Arabidopsis thaliana: one gene and its partner. The protein of the gene in region 1 purifies or fractionates together with the protein of each later gene. This does not show direct contact. Each region holds a gene or a part of one and is shown in the gene's direction. Other genes may lie near its edges.

Region 1 (3,754 bases):
CTTGTTAGTTTATTCTCTCACATTGAGTATCATTGAACCAATTTACTTTCCTGTTCTCATATTTTCTGTAAATTAAAAGAAGTTGTTTCTTTCTTATGACTCTTTCTCTCTTATTTGTAGTGTACAAAAAGCATCATCCTCCTTCTCTTTTCGATGAAGTATGGAGATTGGAAAAGATAGGGAAAGATGGAGCATTTCACAGACGACTGAATTTGTCAAATATAAACACTGTCAAGGATTTCTTAACACATTTCCATTTAAACTCTTCAAAACTCCGACAAGTAAGATTCGTCTTCCTTACTCTGTGCCTATGTGACTAAGGCTTCTGTGGTGGGCGTGAATCTTTTGTGTCACCAGTAATAATGGTTTGTGATTGATTCTCACCTGGTGAGAAATACACAGTTTTAACTTGTCTACATGTAATGATGATTGATGTTCCTTGCAGGTTCTTGGTACGGGTATGTCTTCAAAGATGTGGGAAATTACTTTGGACCATGCTCGATCATGTGTTCTAGATAGTAGCGTCCATGTGTACCAAGCTCCTGGATTTCAGAAGAAAACAGCTGTTGTCTTCAACGTCGTAGCTCAAGTGCTTGGACTGCTCGTGGATTTTCAGTATATTCCTGCTGAAAAGTTATCAGAGATTGAAAAGGCACTGATCCTCTCTGTCTACATATTTGACTTGGTTTCTCTTCTACATACTCTCAGGTTTACATAAATTTTCTGATTTCAGGCTCAAGCGGAGGTGATGGTAATTGATGCATTGAGTCACCTAAATGAAGTAATCTCGTATGATGATGAGGTTTCCATGATGAGGAACGTTCTCAATGCCCCGGCTTCTCAAGGCAGTGTTGCCGGGATTGATTATTCGGGTCTGAGTTTGACCAGTTTGGACGGATACGGTTTTGTGTCAAGTCTTCACAACACAGCAGAATGTAGTGGCAAGCACAGTGATGATGTTGACATGGAAGTTACTCCACATGGTTTATATGAAGACTACGACAATCTCTGGAACTGCTCTCACATTCTAGGCTTAGAAGAACCGCAATCTGAGTTGCAGAGTGCGCTTGACGATTTCATGTCACAGAAGAATGCTTCGGTCGGTGGTAAGGCTCACAGCAAAAGATGGACAAAGCTTTTCAGTGTCTCGAGATGGCTCTCTGTTTTCAAGTATGTCAAGTTAGGAAAAATATAAAATGAGTTTAGTACACAAAAGAACAAAACGACTCGCTGCGCCGCGCCCTGGACAGATTCGTGTATATATATACTCGGGGAAAGCTTGGGTTTCTGATGATCCAGAGGCGTTCAAAAGTGTTTTCTTTCTTCTTCTTCTTCTGGTTGTCTCCATCTTTGTGTTAAAGATGTGAATATATGTTTTAGGACAGCTTCATTTTTGTTGAAAGCTTAAAAAACAGGGTCTTTTATAATCTCTGTGATTAGTACCAAATTGCAGATTTGCAGAACTACGTTTTTCTTGGTTTGTCAGGTAATGTGAAACTGAATAAAATGAATATTATTTGAATCAACTGAGATTTTACATTATCTTCTAGAGTTTTGTGTTTGAGATTCAAAGAACACTAGACTGAGTATGAAGATTTTGGGTGAGTAAAAACAATCAGGGTGATAATTTATCATACAATAGTTTTGGGGTCAAAATGGAATAATTCTAGAGTATAGAGCCCATGTTGAAAAGCTCGAAAATTCTTTCCAATTCCAGAAGAAAAGGTTTTGCTGTTTCCCTGTGAGCGATCTTCGATACTCGTCTGGGCATGGCGTTTTTGCTCAACAACGCTTCAATTTCATCTCATTTACGCTCGTCTTCTTCACAGGTTTGGATCAAATCTTGTTAATCGATTATTGTTGGAATTTTGTTTGATTTTTGTGACAATTTTTTCCCTTACGAAATTTTTGAAGAAGACGGGTGATGCTTTATCAATATCGCGTCGTGGATTCCACATTGAGCCAGGAACTCGAGAGAAAGCTGTAAGTTAATCTCTGTTTCTGTTCGAGTCCTGGATCATTTTGGACTCAGTTTTTGTGGAATTTTCTGCATCTATTGTGATTTGAAGATACTAATTAGGGTTCATGAAAGAATTGGCTTTTATATAGATTCCCTGAGACTCTCATGTGTGTCCCTAGTAATGTTCGTTGTCTGAATCTATTTGAAAGAGTAATTTTTATGAGAGTTTTGAGTTGTTGTTGATGCTTATGCTGTTGTTATATGGCATTTTCTTAAAGCTCTTGATGAGTTTGTGTTTGCTTAAATTGAAATCCTGTGTAGCTCTTGGCTGAAGATTCTGCTTTGAAGAGATTCAAGTCTCATAAGAAAAGTGTGCACAAACTGAAGAGGATTGGTGATGTGCTCACTGTTGTTGTTGTTGCAGGTAAAAACACTTTAGTTCATAACTTTTGGTCGAAGCTAATCAGATTCTTGTTTTGTTAGTGGTCTAGAAACATAATCTGGTATGGTTCAGGAATCATAATGAATCTGAGTAAGAGATTGACTAGGCTAGGCACACTTAGATATTTTCACCTTGCTTCTTGCAATTAAGAAAGCTGTAGATTGAATCTCATAGGTTTCATGTAGAGCTGAGCTTATTATGTCAAATCAAACTAACAACGTTCTTCTCTGTTGTTCTTGGTAATATGAATTATGGATTCACGACATACTCGAAATCTAAATTGTGACTTATCTCGTGTCTTGCTTGTTTTTTTGTCTTAGGATGTTGCTATGAAATCTATGTCAAAGCTGTGATGAAAAAAGAAGCTCTGGCTGCAGGGAAAAGCTCATGAGTGTTCTTGTCTTTGTATGCCTTTTTGTTTTATCCTTTATACAGTGTCTCTTTCTAATAATCTCACAATAATGTTTGTTTACTCAATGAAAATGGCATCTAATAAAGTAGACTAAAAGAAAAAGACATTGTCCAGGGAAACCAAACTCTGGTTTTTTCTGACGTTGTGTGGAATCTCTGCTTTTTCTTCTTTTTAAATATTCCTTAGCTTTTCACTTATTTGTACTTTGCTTAAAGATACACTCTCCATTTATAGATAACTGCAACGATTAATGTCTTATCCATGGATTAGGTGACTGTATTTATGTGAAATTGTGAATGATCAATCACACTTAATGGTTTACACTGGACATGAAATTGTTTCGAAAGGATTAGTAGAGCGAGTGGGCCGGTTCGGTGTAGCCTACCTCTATCTTGGGCCTCTCTCTAGGCCCAATTTGGGTTCAAACCGGTTGAGACGAGGTCTCAAACCGAAATCTAACTTTACACCCTTAATTTTCAACCTAATTGTGACTCAACAAGAACATATCCACCACTGACCACTTGTTTTCCACAAATCATGCAAATTTGATTAATACCTACTGAGTACTGATAAAAACAAGTACAAAGAGCTTTCATGCTCCCTTCTGATAACATTGGTTCACCAAAGATGTAATATAAAAAATGTTGGAATATTAGTTGAACCACCTTGGAGAACGTATAACAAAGAAGCCCAACAAATCAAGTTACTTTTGCTTGATTTGCACACATTCATGTTTGAAAGCTACAATTCATATGTTCTATATTATCTACATTTATACTCATAGTTGATATGTTGTCGAAATTCTATCAATTTATGATATTGATAGGTTTGCAATTTCGTAAAAGAAACTCTCACATCTATTTTGACTAACCCACACGTTTTTAAAAATAATAAAACTATGAGTAATTACACATCCTAAAGAGCATTTACTCATCAGTCA
Region 2 (3,754 bases), on another chromosome or scaffold:
TTGATCCAGTCTTGGAGTAGAAATTGGGAATTCATGAGAGAATATGTGGGACTTATCTTTGCTAGTTTGAGAGATTTAGAAAACAGTAATTGATTTCAGCTAGATTGTTTTAGGAATTTTTTTAGATTTGGTGAAGTTATGTTATAATTTTGGTAATTAAGCTGATAGATATAGATTGCAAGTGCTCTGGTTAGCTACGGTGGAGTGTAATTTCGTTTCAGCTTGGCCTTTTGCTCTCTGTTTTCTGGAGATTTGGATGAATAGACACAAGTTTTCCAAAGGCATACGATTTGATTTCATTGTTAGAATGATTAGTAAACTTCCGATAGAAACTAGTATATGATGATTCTAAGCTTCTCTTATCTGTGAGATAAAAAAGGGAAGGATCTCCGTTGGATTCCATTAACTTTTTAGATCACTATCATCACATACTGTTATTGATATATCCCAATTCTGCTTGTAACATAGACATGAGATTCACTTCAAATTAGCTAGTTTGCTCTTCTTCCTCTGGGCTTGTAATTCATTAATGCATTTCATACATCCCCAATGCAATACTGCAAAGCGAAAGCAAGTATCAGCATTGTACTTAAACTTGATTTCATTTGATTTGCTGTTTTCTTCCGTTTTGCCGGAACTACTTCTTTCTCATCATTGCATCAATGACCTATCATTCTCTGTTTGATATTTTTGATGGTGAAACCAGGGATTTTCTTCATCGTCCTCGGGTGTCTTCTGTTCATTCCCGGGTTTTACTATACACGGATTGCGTATTATGCTTACAAAGGATACAAAGGTTTCTCCTTCTCAAACATACCGCCCGTTTAGGTGTCCCCTTTTGAATCTCTCCTACTCAAAATGTATAGAGATGTTTTATTACTCTATAGCAATGATTGACTTGTTTTCTCTTTTGTGTAGTTTTATAGAATTTGAGTCCAGTCCTTTCTTACTTTCTCCTTCTTCTTGTCAAATAAATTCGAGTCTGTGACAGTTTAGTCAGATTTATACTTACATATCTATAAATATACACCCGGTTCAAATTGATATTTGTTTCTATAAAGATTTCCAATTCGAACCAAGTAATATGGGATACTTGGAGTGTTCACATGTTGCTTTCAGATGTAATTGTTCATTTTCCATCAAATTCCTCTGGATGCAGTATTTAATTGATTACAAATTTGGCCAACTTACACATTGTTACTACTAGAGTTTCAATCTATATCATGATGGTGTATTGGTGTTATATCAAAATTAAAACGTGATTCTTATGTGAATTTTTATGTTCAACATTATTGTTTTCTTTGGGTCAAATGTAACCTTTTATCTTTTTGTCATCAACATGAATGTTCCTTATAACATGCACTTTATTAGCCTGTTTAAAGCAAAACGTGACAAAACATAAATATTCAATTGCTATATACGGAAAGCGATCCAGATATTTGAATGATTAATGGGCCCAAAATATCTCTCTACGTCACATACATAATCCCAATTAACCTAAAAGCTTAAACCGACTAGCCGGTTCTAAGACATTTCCGGTTTAAGTATCTGAATATAGTTTTCTCTCTCTCTCACTCGTGTCCTCTCCTCAAAATCCTCAGCCGCATCTCACTTCTCATTCTCTAGAAAAAATGGCTTCGTCTTGTCTCTTCAATGCCTCTGTATCGTCCTTAAACCCTAAACAAGACCCCATCCGCCGCCACCGGTCAACCTCTCTCCTCCGCCACCGCCCCGTCGTCATCTCCTGTACCGCCGATGGCAACAACATCAAAGCCCCGATCGAGACAGCGGTCAAGCCTCCTCACCGTACCGAGGATAACATTCGAGATGAGGCTCGTCGTAATCGTTCCAACGCCGTGAATCCATTTTCAGCTAAATACGTTCCGTTTAATGCAGCTCCTGGATCCACGGAGTCTTACTCTCTCGACGAGATCGTGTACCGTAGCCGCTCCGGTGGTTTGCTTGATGTCGAACACGATATGGAGGCTTTGAAGCGATTCGATGGCGCGTATTGGCGTGATCTCTTCGATTCGCGTGTTGGTAAAAGCACATGGCCTTATGGATCGGGTGTTTGGTCGAAGAAAGAGTGGGTTCTTCCTGAGATCGATGACGACGACATCGTTTCAGCTTTTGAAGGAAACTCGAATCTGTTCTGGGCAGAGAGATTTGGTAAGCAGTTTCTAGGTATGAATGATCTGTGGGTGAAACACTGTGGGATTAGTCATACAGGAAGTTTCAAGGATCTTGGAATGACTGTTTTGGTTAGTCAAGTTAATCGTCTGAGAAAGATGAAACGACCTGTGGTTGGTGTCGGATGTGCTTCCACCGGAGATACTTCTGCTGCTCTATCTGCTTACTGCGCCTCCGCTGGAATCCCATCGATTGTGTTTTTACCGGCGAACAAGATCTCTATGGCTCAGCTGGTTCAGCCGATAGCTAATGGTGCGTTTGTTTTGAGTATTGACACTGATTTTGATGGGTGTATGAAGCTGATTAGAGAGATAACTGCGGAATTGCCGATTTATTTGGCGAATTCGTTGAATAGTTTGAGGTTAGAAGGGCAGAAAACTGCAGCTATTGAGATTTTGCAGCAGTTTGATTGGCAAGTTCCTGATTGGGTGATTGTTCCTGGAGGTAACCTAGGAAACATCTATGCCTTTTACAAAGGGTTTAAGATGTGTCAAGAACTGGGACTTGTCGATAGGATCCCGAGGATGGTCTGTGCACAAGCAGCTAATGCTAATCCTCTTTACTTGCACTACAAGTCTGGTTGGAAGGACTTCAAGCCCATGACTGCAAGTACCACTTTCGCCTCTGCGATTCAGATCGGTGACCCTGTCTCCATCGATAGAGCTGTGTACGCTCTCAAGAAGTGCAATGGTATTGTAGAAGAAGCCACAGAGGAGGAGCTGATGGATGCGATGGCTCAAGCGGATTCGACAGGAATGTTTATCTGTCCTCATACAGGTGTTGCTCTAACTGCTCTGTTCAAGCTGAGGAATCAAGGAGTGATTGCACCGACTGATCGAACTGTGGTAGTGAGTACTGCTCATGGGTTGAAGTTTACTCAGTCTAAGATAGATTATCACTCCAATGCCATCCCTGACATGGCTTGCAGATTCTCCAATCCTCCTGTTGATGTGAAAGCAGATTTCGGAGCTGTCATGGATGTTCTCAAGAGTTACTTAGGAAGTAATACACTTACGTCATAAGAGACAAGACCATAATCTTTAGCTGTTTTGTTTTTTGAAAACTTTTAGACGTTTGTTTGCGTTACTCTTCAACTCATCTCTCTGTGATCTTTATCTGTTTCTCAGTTTTCCAATAAAGTTCTATCGCAAAGTTTGAATCATTTTATCTTCTTTGTTTTTTGTGTAAGCGATAAATCTAAAGACTCCGGTCAAAATCAACCTGTTGCAGATTATATTGTTACAACTAGATGCGTCTTGGAGAATGCATAAAAGAAAAAAGTCAAAAAACCGAATTGTTCATGAGTAATCATAGAGCGATACACTCTTGTCATCAGAGACACTAGCAAGTCGACCAGCCCGGACACCGGTTCCACCTGGTGGTCTAAAGGCCACAGACCAAACCTGGTCATTGTGGTTGCTCATTGTCTGAATCGCAGCTCTCATTTTAAGATCCCATAGCCTCACAGTTCTATCGCTTGAGCCGGTTGCTATGGCTCCACCGTCTGGGCTAGCATCAACGCTCAGCACCCAACTCGTGTGCCCTGACATGGACCCCAACAGCG

What was found. Proteins that work in one complex are often made in the same cells at the same time.
Region 2: the proteins of SDH7 (region 1) and MTO2 purify together in Arabidopsis thaliana (affinity purification with mass spectrometry, with the first as the bait; one large-scale study listed by BioGRID). This does not show direct contact.

The regions. Positions count from the first base shown.
Region 1 is NC_003076.8:25,115,773-25,119,526, forward strand, and holds SDH7 (succinate dehydrogenase subunit), read left to right. Parts: upstream 1-1,641; 5' UTR 1,642-1,769; coding exon 1,770-1,829; intron 1,830-1,914; coding exon 1,915-1,983; intron 1,984-2,281; coding exon 2,282-2,384; intron 2,385-2,722; coding exon 2,723-2,793; 3' UTR 2,794-3,120; downstream 3,121-3,754. Other genes in the region: AT5G62570 (Calmodulin binding protein-like protein), read left to right, coding at 121-281, 446-652, 734-1,195.
Region 2 is NC_003075.7:14,598,892-14,602,645, reverse strand, and holds MTO2 (Pyridoxal-5'-phosphate-dependent enzyme family protein), read left to right. Parts: upstream 1-1,590; 5' UTR 1,591-1,631; coding exon 1,632-3,212; 3' UTR 3,213-3,430; downstream 3,431-3,754. Other genes in the region: AT4G29850 (transmembrane protein (DUF872)), read left to right, coding at 707-828; VIP3 (Transducin/WD40 repeat-like superfamily protein), read right to left, coding at 3,489-3,754. UniProt on the Arabidopsis thaliana protein: Catalyzes the gamma-elimination of phosphate from L-phosphohomoserine and the beta-addition of water to produce L-threonine.